3 linked regions of the Saccharomyces cerevisiae S288C genome follow. Changing the gene in region 1 together with any one later gene gives a genetic interaction. Each region holds a gene or a part of one and is shown in the gene's direction. Other genes may lie near its edges. The genes, in order: HSP31, YAL064W and GPM2.

Region 1 (3,392 bases):
CCTCTACTGATGAAGGATCTGGTTCGAGTATAACTACCACTATTACAGCCACCAAAAATGGACATGTCTACACAAAGACCGTCACCCAGGACGCTACTTTCGTATGGACTGGTGAGGGTGAACGCGCTCCTGCCTCCACCGTTGCAACTTCTAGTATTTCTGCTATTGAAATTCCCTCCACTACTGAGGCCTCTATTGTGGAGGCTTCTTCTGCTGTTGAGACTTCCTCTGCTGCTGAGACTTCCTCTGCTGTTGAGACTTCCTCTGCTGTTGAGACTTCCTCTGCTGTTGAGACTTCTTCTGCTGCTGAGACTTCCTCTGCTGCTGAGACTTCCTCTGCCGTTGAGACTTCCTCTGCTGTTGAGATTTCTTCTGCTGTTGAGACTTCTGCTGTTGAGACTTCTTCTTCTTCCTCTACTATCGAGACCACTTCTGTTAAAAGCTTATCTCCTACTCAGACTTCTCTTTCATCTTCTGTCCAGGCTTCTTCTCCTATTGAGACTTCTTCTGCTGCAAAAACCTCTTCTGTTGTGCCAACTTTTTCTTCTACTACTACTGAAAATTCCTCTAATTCTAAATCCACGTCTGCAGTTGTAGCATCTACTACCACCTCCTCTGAGTCAAGCGCTACTATTGTTACTCCTACTAGAATTGGGCAAGCTTACACAGAGAGTTCTTCTAGGGATGCCCAATCTGTTCGTACCCATGAAAGTAACAATTGGTCATCAAGTTCTTCTGCAAGCACAAAAATGGTATCCTCTATTACAAGAGTTCAAACCACTACCGCTGGTATTTTCACTAACGGTAAGTCGTCCACAACTCCTCAAATCGTGAATTACACGGGTGCGGCTGATTCTATCGCCGCTGGTACGGGTCTGATGGGCGCTGCGCTCGCTGCCGTTATCTTTTTGTAATTTCTGCTAACGACAGATGCGCAGAATCAACCTTTCTGATCTCTCCGTGGTCTTACTTTTCAAAATGGCATTGTGAATTAAGTATTTCATCATAGTTGATAAAGCTTATGTCCGCAATGTTATTTGTCTGCGTGACACTGGCTGTCTATAAGAATGTACCAGTATGTAATATTATATCAAGAAAATATCAGGTGTTGATTAAAATAATCTAAAAACAATGTCTATTTCACTTGTTAAATATGACTTTTCAAAAATAACCATTTTATTTATTTCTTGCTTTTTAAAAGGTGAGAGTGGGTATTTGTTTTATCTGACGCCAAGGAAAATAAAAGTTAAAAAATGACATGATGATTTTATAGTTCAAAACAAGAAATGAACTTTCGTGTTTGTGATCAGATTCAAATGGAGTATAATACTGAAAGAAGGTCGAGAAAGACAAGCAAGCAAATTCACAACTTCATTGAGCGCATTTTATTGAAATTACCTGTAGCAATGAGTAGTTCAGTTTGTCATATAATTATGTTTTTGTGAGAAATTTTAGCTTTTGGTACTGTGCCAGTTATCCGAATTTAAAAAAAAAAGTTATATATGGCTGTAATAATTTAGGTCAGAGAGAAGAAAACACGAAGTTTACTACGTGTATTAAAAATAGAACATTAAACATGCACCAAATGCTTTAATGAACACTTTCGGAAGAATAAGCCCATAAAAAAATCACGACGTACCGTTGCGACAGATAGGATCGTTCTTTCTAGGAGATTTTTTAGCTGCTACGGAATAAAAGAAATAATGCTGACTAATACGCAGGATATCCATGGGAGGCGGCTTTTTGTTCTGACGGATCCATAAATCCCGTAAAGAAATCTGGGCGAATGTATACAGAGAATTAACGTTACTCATTCCTAGCCTGAAAATCAAAAAGCTTGGCATAAGGGGCATGTACATAGTCTTCATGAAAGAAATGGAAAATTTTTTCAAGGGATGGCTTCACGGTTCCATTATTGCTTCCGGTTTCCGTTACCCTTTAAATCAGATATATAAACAGCCATAAGGAGAACCATTCATTTCTTTATCATCCGCTAAATTTTATTAACGGCATTTTTAAGTACTTCCCACTGGCTAATTACACAGATAAAACTCAAACAAATTTATAATGGCCCCAAAAAAAGTTTTACTCGCTCTTACCTCATATAACGATGTATTCTACAGTGACGGCGCCAAGACCGGTGTTTTTGTTGTAGAAGCCTTACATCCCTTCAACACATTCCGAAAAGAAGGTTTTGAAGTCGATTTTGTATCTGAAACCGGAAAATTTGGTTGGGATGAGCATTCCTTAGCCAAAGATTTTCTAAATGGTCAAGACGAAACGGATTTTAAAAATAAAGACTCAGATTTCAACAAGACATTGGCTAAAATTAAGACACCAAAAGAGGTGAATGCCGATGATTACCAAATTTTTTTTGCATCTGCAGGCCACGGTACCTTATTTGACTATCCTAAGGCTAAAGACTTGCAGGACATTGCTTCCGAAATTTATGCTAACGGTGGTGTTGTCGCAGCTGTTTGTCACGGTCCTGCTATTTTTGATGGGTTAACAGACAAAAAAACAGGAAGACCATTGATCGAAGGTAAATCTATCACCGGTTTTACTGATGTTGGTGAAACCATTTTGGGTGTTGATAGTATTTTGAAAGCCAAGAATTTGGCAACCGTTGAAGATGTTGCTAAAAAATATGGCGCTAAGTATTTAGCTCCGGTTGGGCCCTGGGATGATTACTCTATTACTGACGGAAGACTGGTAACAGGTGTGAATCCTGCTTCTGCGCACTCCACTGCCGTAAGATCCATCGACGCTTTAAAAAACTGAGCCAAAGGTTGATAATTAGAATTTCCTTTGTACTACTATATAGATGTAAGGAACTTTAGGAGGCGTTATTGAGTACGAGGGATGTACCTCATTGTTAATACGTTGAAATATTTGGATATTGGGGAAACACATGTCTGAGATGGGTCTTCCAATAACCAAAGTTTATAATCTTTATCTTTTATCTGCTTTAGCTAGAGGTTAATAGTGAAGACTACATTTGGTCTCCAACAAGGTGCTACAATTTATTTTTCAGCCACTCCGTTGCACAGCATTTATCTAGCCAACGTTAATATCAATGAGAATGGAGAAGAAAGCATTAGCGTCGTTACGCTGCAAATCATCTATGCAATATGTAAAACTATACATAAAACTTTCTAAATTTTTTTTTTTTCATTTTGGTATTTCTGTCAGCTGCCGATGCTTCCTAAAGGGTTTATTCATGTGGGACATTGTAGGTGTGTTTCAGTTATCTAATGGTTATTTGCATCTTAGTGAGCTGTTCCTTGCGGTTTCTTGCTAAATGATCACGAAAAATGTTTTTTTCTCAGGTTAATTATGGCAGAATGTCGACACGAATTGGTCATATTGAAAATATTTAGTAATGCCCATCA
Region 2 (2,920 bases), on another chromosome or scaffold:
TACAGTTGGTCTGGTCTATATCATGGTCAAAGGAGCAAACATATCTTCTGAAGTGACCGCAAATAGTACTATGATGTGGTTGGCAATATAACTTAAAAGGAAATAACCACAAGGAATTGCACCCATGTACACAGTTTTTCCCGGAAATTGGGAAACCAGTACGAACATATATCAATTACTTTTACATTATCTTGATTGGAAAACTGGCACAATTGACTGTGACGTTAGTAGTATGTTGTTCTTCTCTACATCAGTTAAATATACGTGTCAACATCAACTAATCAACTTTCCCCCGTTTACCACATTGAAGCTGGGTGTGGAAGATTTATTTGAAGAAACTAAAACGTACCCTGTCATTTCCTGAGTCCCCTTTCAACTTAGTGTGAAAGCCGAACAATTATAATCCTCGGTAGACAACAGATTTATTGTACTAAAGTTACTCTTCCTGTTATCTTCCTTGATTTTACTGTTATAGCAATGACCCACCGCAATCAGGAGAGCCGCCGTATGGAATAGCATACCAAGTCATAAAATCGTCAACCTATTAACGGGGTTCAGGTTCTTTTTCAGCGTAGTAGCCCTTTAACAAGCGCTGACAAAGTTGACACTCAGAGAAAATTCAGGATTTATTGTAATCCAGCTACTCATCCTTAGATCCGCTTGCAGGCATGGTTTTTTTCACCTTGAGAGGCTATTTTGGGTAAGCCAGGAAGGCTGAAAAATCCCAAAAGGACACAGTAATAAGAAATTGTTGTTGTTGTATGATGCATTTAGAACTCAAAAGACGAGTTTCTGAAAATGCTTACAATACTCCATAGGTAACATGATTTTTTTATTAAAAAAGTATACTGTTCCTTTGGGTAAAAATTATGCAACCCTTGAGTGTCCGATGAAGATAAGACTACGAAACAATTTGCGGTAAATTTTTTCTGCTATTGACATTTACACATGCTCCAATCCATTACCCTTTCCATTCTCGTAATAAAACCTCGAACTGTTATTTCATATTTACATCTAGACGGGTATCGGCCTCAACAACTCCAAACAAAAGTAAATAGAAAAGAGCCAGACCTATCGCACCGGGTAGAGCCAGAAAATATTTTAAACTATAGTTGACGTATTCTACGGCTGTTGTTTAGGACAATACTTTTTCCTTCACAGGCTTCGAATTACGCACATGCAGAACTCCTGTAGAAACCACGAAGAAAAGTTTAATTAACTTTCAAATGCCAGAACTAAAGATTGATGAAACAGTTATACGAATTTAAGGGGAACTTGCTTTTTCCTTTTGCTTCATCATAAGCGCAATATTCGCAGCGGTGGCGTCGCGTCTTACCATTTATCGGCACATTTTTCCGAAAAGGAAGGAAAATGGCGGTGTCAAACGGTCTGGTGTGACATCTAGAAGTTCGGCATTGCAAGTTAATCTACGGGAAAAAGAAAATTTTCTTATAACCCTAATGTATAATAAGGTTTTCGGAGAAAGCAACTCACGGGGAACAATTGGTTAGAAGAGACCGTAGAAGCGCCCCACTAACCTGGAGTTGATTATCGAGGATCTTTCTCAGAAAAGCAGCTAATAAATGAGCACAGTACTCAAAAATTACTCATAGTATTATAATTACTTACTTAGTCAATATGGCTGCGCTTTTAAAATGAGTATCTTTTATTTTTTGACAAGGAAGAAAAAGATGCAAGCAAAGAGAAATTTACTAAGTACAAGCTCATTTCCAAAAATTCAGTTTGCCTGTAACAATGGGTAGCGATCTTCAACATATGGGATTATGCCTTGAATGAGATTTTTGAACGTAGAGGAAAAAATCGCAGACAGGCTTTATTGTGCTGTTTGACATAGTATACTCAGCCGTTGTGGTGTTAATGAATACTATCGATGTGTATACAAACGTACTTCAAATAAGCAATGCGAATATACTGCAACTTTTCGGCCTTTGCAACGATTTGTAATGAATCCTTTTGCATCGCTAGAAGGACAAGATAATATTTCTTCTGTTTTTTTTTTACATATGCAACAATTTGAAAGTCAGGTCAAAGACAGATTCCGGTTCCCCATATTCAGATTGGAGAGAAAAACTTTTGGCAACTCATGTTACCAAGTCGAGACGCTTAAAGTTAAGTGTCGGCCAAGACACGCAAAATCTTGTAATCTTTTAACGCTGCTCTTCAAATCACGGACGCAATCAGTACTTGTACCTAATTTTGGTTTTCTAATATTGAATAGCGAACCATAGGTCGAAAATTTAAGGCCACATAAATCCAGAGCCCGCAACTTGGATAGGTATTTACTTGATTTTTAGTTTGCTTTCAATAGTGTCGTGAAATTATAAAGTACGCCGCATATATATCTTGATTAGTTAAAAATAGCAGTGTTCAATGATGATTTGATAGGGTTCATAACTGGTACCAGCGTAGTACAATTACGATTATCCATGAACATAAAAGTGGTTTAAGTACTATATATCAGTGAAGCTTCAAAGTAAGCAAACGAGATACCAAGATCTTGTAGGACCACGATATATAAGAAGCCTAGTTCCGTTGTAGCATCACATAGAAGAGAGCGACAATGCCTCAGAAATTCTACAGCAACAGAAAGCACAGTGAGTCATTAACTGTTGGAATAAGACTCAACTGCGAGCTATCGACTAGTACTTATATTACTAGTATATTATATACGGTGTGAAAAGACGACATGAAGATTGAGGAAATGGTCCCAAGATCTAATGGACACTGAAATGCAAAAGTTGATAATGTAACATGAAAATTAAGGACAGCATATTAAACAGAAGAGGAAATAATGGTATTTTTACATAGAGATATGAATTTCCCTTTTTCTTTGTTCCTATATCTCTGATAATAAGTTATAATATACTTTGTGCATCTTATATCATGCCTTTTCAACAAT
Region 3 (3,173 bases), 1.1 Mb from region 1:
CCCGTATCTGTAGCCAATTGAAAGGTCATGTTGATTCACACGTCAGAGCTATCTCCTGTCTAAAGGGTTTTGAAGTTGGTGCTAAAGGTGTCCAATTGCTATCCTCTTACATCACTGAGGAACTAGGTATTCAATGTGGTGCTCTATCTGGTGCTAACATTGCCACCGAAGTCGCTCAAGAACACTGGTCTGAAACAACAGTTGCTTACCACATTCCAAAGGATTTCAGAGGCGAGGGCAAGGACGTCGACCATAAGGTTCTAAAGGCCTTGTTCCACAGACCTTACTTCCACGTTAGTGTCATCGAAGATGTTGCTGGTATCTCCATCTGTGGTGCTTTGAAGAACGTTGTTGCCTTAGGTTGTGGTTTCGTCGAAGGTCTAGGCTGGGGTAACAACGCTTCTGCTGCCATCCAAAGAGTCGGTTTGGGTGAGATCATCAGATTCGGTCAAATGTTTTTCCCAGAATCTAGAGAAGAAACATACTACCAAGAGTCTGCTGGTGTTGCTGATTTGATCACCACCTGCGCTGGTGGTAGAAACGTCAAGGTTGCTAGGCTAATGGCTACTTCTGGTAAGGACGCCTGGGAATGTGAAAAGGAGTTGTTGAATGGCCAATCCGCTCAAGGTTTAATTACCTGCAAAGAAGTTCACGAATGGTTGGAAACATGTGGCTCTGTCGAAGACTTCCCATTATTTGAAGCCGTATACCAAATCGTTTACAACAACTACCCAATGAAGAACCTGCCGGACATGATTGAAGAATTAGATCTACATGAAGATTAGATTTATTGGAGAAAGATAACATATCATACTTTCCCCCACTTTTTTCGAGGCTCTTCTATATCATATTCATAAATTAGCATTATGTCATTTCTCATAACTACTTTATCACGTTAGAAATTACTTATTATTATTAAATTAATACAAAATTTAGTAACCAAATAAATATAAATAAATATGTATATTTAAATTTTAAAAAAAAAATCCTATAGAGCAAAAGGATTTTCCATTATAATATTAGCTGTACACCTCTTCCGCATTTTTTGAGGGTGGTTACAACACCACTCATTCAGAGGCTGTCGGCACAGTTGCTTCTAGCATCTGGCGTCCGTATGTATGGGTGTATTTTAAATAATAAACAAAGTGCCACACCTTCACCAATTATGTCTTTAAGAAATGGACAAGTTCCAAAGAGCTTGCCCAAGGCTCGACAAGGATGTACTTTGGAATATCTATATTCAAGTACGTGGCGCGCATATGTTTGAGTGTGCACACAATAAAGGTTTTTAGATATTTTGCGGCGTCCTAAGAAAATAAGGGGTTTCTTAAAAAATAACAATAGCAAACAAAGTTCCTTACGATGATTTCAGATGTGAATAGCATGGTCATGATGAGTATATACGTTTTTATAAATAATTAAAAGTTTTCCTCTTGTCTGTTTTTTTGTTGGCTCGTGGTTGTTCTCGAAAAAGGAGAGTTTTCATTTTCGAAATAGGTGATTATCATCATGTTGTTATCACCCCACGACGAAGATAATACGGAGCTCACCGTTTTCTTTTTTTTTCCCTTTGGCTGAAATTTCCCACCAGAACAAACGTGACAAAATTATCTTTGAATCCAAAGTAGCTTATATATATACGTAGAAGTGTTTCGAGACACACATCCAAATACGAGGTTGTTCAATTTAAACCCAAGAATACATAAAAAAAATATAGATATATTAACTTAGTAAACAATGACTGCAAGCACACCATCCAATGTCATGACATTGTTCTTGTTAAGGCATGGACAAAGTGAATTGAATCACGAGAATATATTCTGTGGTTGGATTGACGCTAAGCTAACCGAAAAAGGTAAAGAACAAGCTCGTCATTCTGCCGAGCTAATCGAACAATATTGTAAAGCTAATAATTTGAGATTACCCCAGATTGGTTACACCTCACGTTTAATTAGGACCCAACAGACCATAGAAACGATGTGTGAAGAATTTAAGTTAAAGCCACAACTGCAGGTTGTTTACGACTTTAATAAAATCAAACTTGGAGACGAATTTGGCAGTGATGACAAGGATAATATGAAAATCCCGATTCTTCAAACTTGGAGGCTAAATGAACGTCATTACGGTTCCTGGCAGGGCCAGAGGAAACCGAATGTTTTAAAAGAATATGGTAAGGATAAATATATGTTCATTAGGAGAGATTACGAGGGTAAGCCACCACCTGTAGATCTTGACCGTGAGATGATTCAACAAGAAAATGAGAAGGGCTCTTCTACTGGGTACGAATTCAAGGAGCCAAACAGACAAATAAAATATGAATTGGAATGCAGCAATCATGACATTGTATTACCGGATTCCGAATCTCTTCGTGAAGTGGTTTATAGATTGAATCCTTTTCTACAAAATGTCATATTAAAATTAGCCAATCAATATGATGAATCTTCATGCCTGATTGTGGGCCATGGAAGTTCAGTGAGATCGCTACTGAAAATTCTGGAGGGTATATCAGATGATGACATCAAGAATGTTGATATTCCAAATGGTATCCCCTTAGTCGTTGAATTAGATAAGAATAATGGTCTTAAGTTTATCAGAAAATTCTACCTAGATCCTGAATCTGCTAAGATCAATGCTGAGAAAGTCCGTAATGAGGGTTTCATAAAAAATCCTTAAGGGGGGTAAGTATATAATATAATTGTGTATTTTCCGAAGTATAATGAAAACCAATAGAAAACTTATTATAAGTCCAATGAGGTACTTTAAAAATGTGATATTTATAAGAACATTCCTGAATGCAGATATATGATATATATTGTAAATATATATAGATGTGTATATGTATTTCCATTTTGTGTGAGGTTTTCTTCTTTTATCTCCTATATAATTTGTAACCTTAATTAACCCATGACATAACCAATATTAGCCTTTGCAAATTTTGTAACTTCTTGACGTTGTTCTAACGACAAATCTTCATGCTTCGATTTTATATGCCTTGTTAAAGCATCCAGTCTCGAAAACGTCTTCTGATAGCCCTCAGATCCAAGAATTTTTATACACTCCGAGCAACGGAAGACAATCTTCCTTTTAGCGTGAATGGTATTTTGGTGTCTCGTTAAATCATAGGACCTTGAAAATTGGGCACCACACGGTTCATTTGTAATGAGATTCATTAT

The links.
Region 2: mutations in HSP31 (region 1) and YAL064W together harm fitness more than expected from each alone (negative genetic interaction), as found in Saccharomyces cerevisiae (one large-scale study listed by BioGRID).
Region 3: mutations in HSP31 (region 1) and GPM2 together harm fitness more than expected from each alone (negative genetic interaction), as found in Saccharomyces cerevisiae (one large-scale study listed by BioGRID).

What each region holds. Positions count from the first base shown.
Region 1 is NC_001136.10:1,500,836-1,504,227, reverse strand, and holds HSP31 (glutathione-independent methylglyoxalase), read left to right. Parts: upstream 1-2,067; coding exon 2,068-2,781; downstream 2,782-3,392. Other genes in the region: FIT1 (Fit1p), read left to right, coding at 1-914. UniProt on the Saccharomyces cerevisiae protein: Catalyzes the conversion of methylglyoxal (MG) to D-lactate in a single glutathione (GSH)-independent step. May play a role in detoxifying endogenously produced glyoxals. Involved in protection against reactive oxygen species (ROS).
Region 2 is NC_001133.9:19,602-22,521, forward strand, and holds YAL064W (uncharacterized protein), read left to right. Parts: upstream 1-1,964; coding exon 1,965-2,249; downstream 2,250-2,920. Other genes in the region: YAL063C-A (uncharacterized protein), read right to left, coding at 2,794-2,920.
Region 3 is NC_001136.10:412,216-415,388, forward strand, and holds GPM2 (phosphoglycerate mutase family protein GPM2), read left to right. Parts: upstream 1-1,737; coding exon 1,738-2,673; downstream 2,674-3,173. Other genes in the region: glycerol-3-phosphate dehydrogenase (NAD(+)) GPD1, read left to right, coding at 1-785; stress-regulated transcription factor RPN4, read right to left, coding at 2,898-3,173. UniProt on the Saccharomyces cerevisiae protein: Could be non-functional.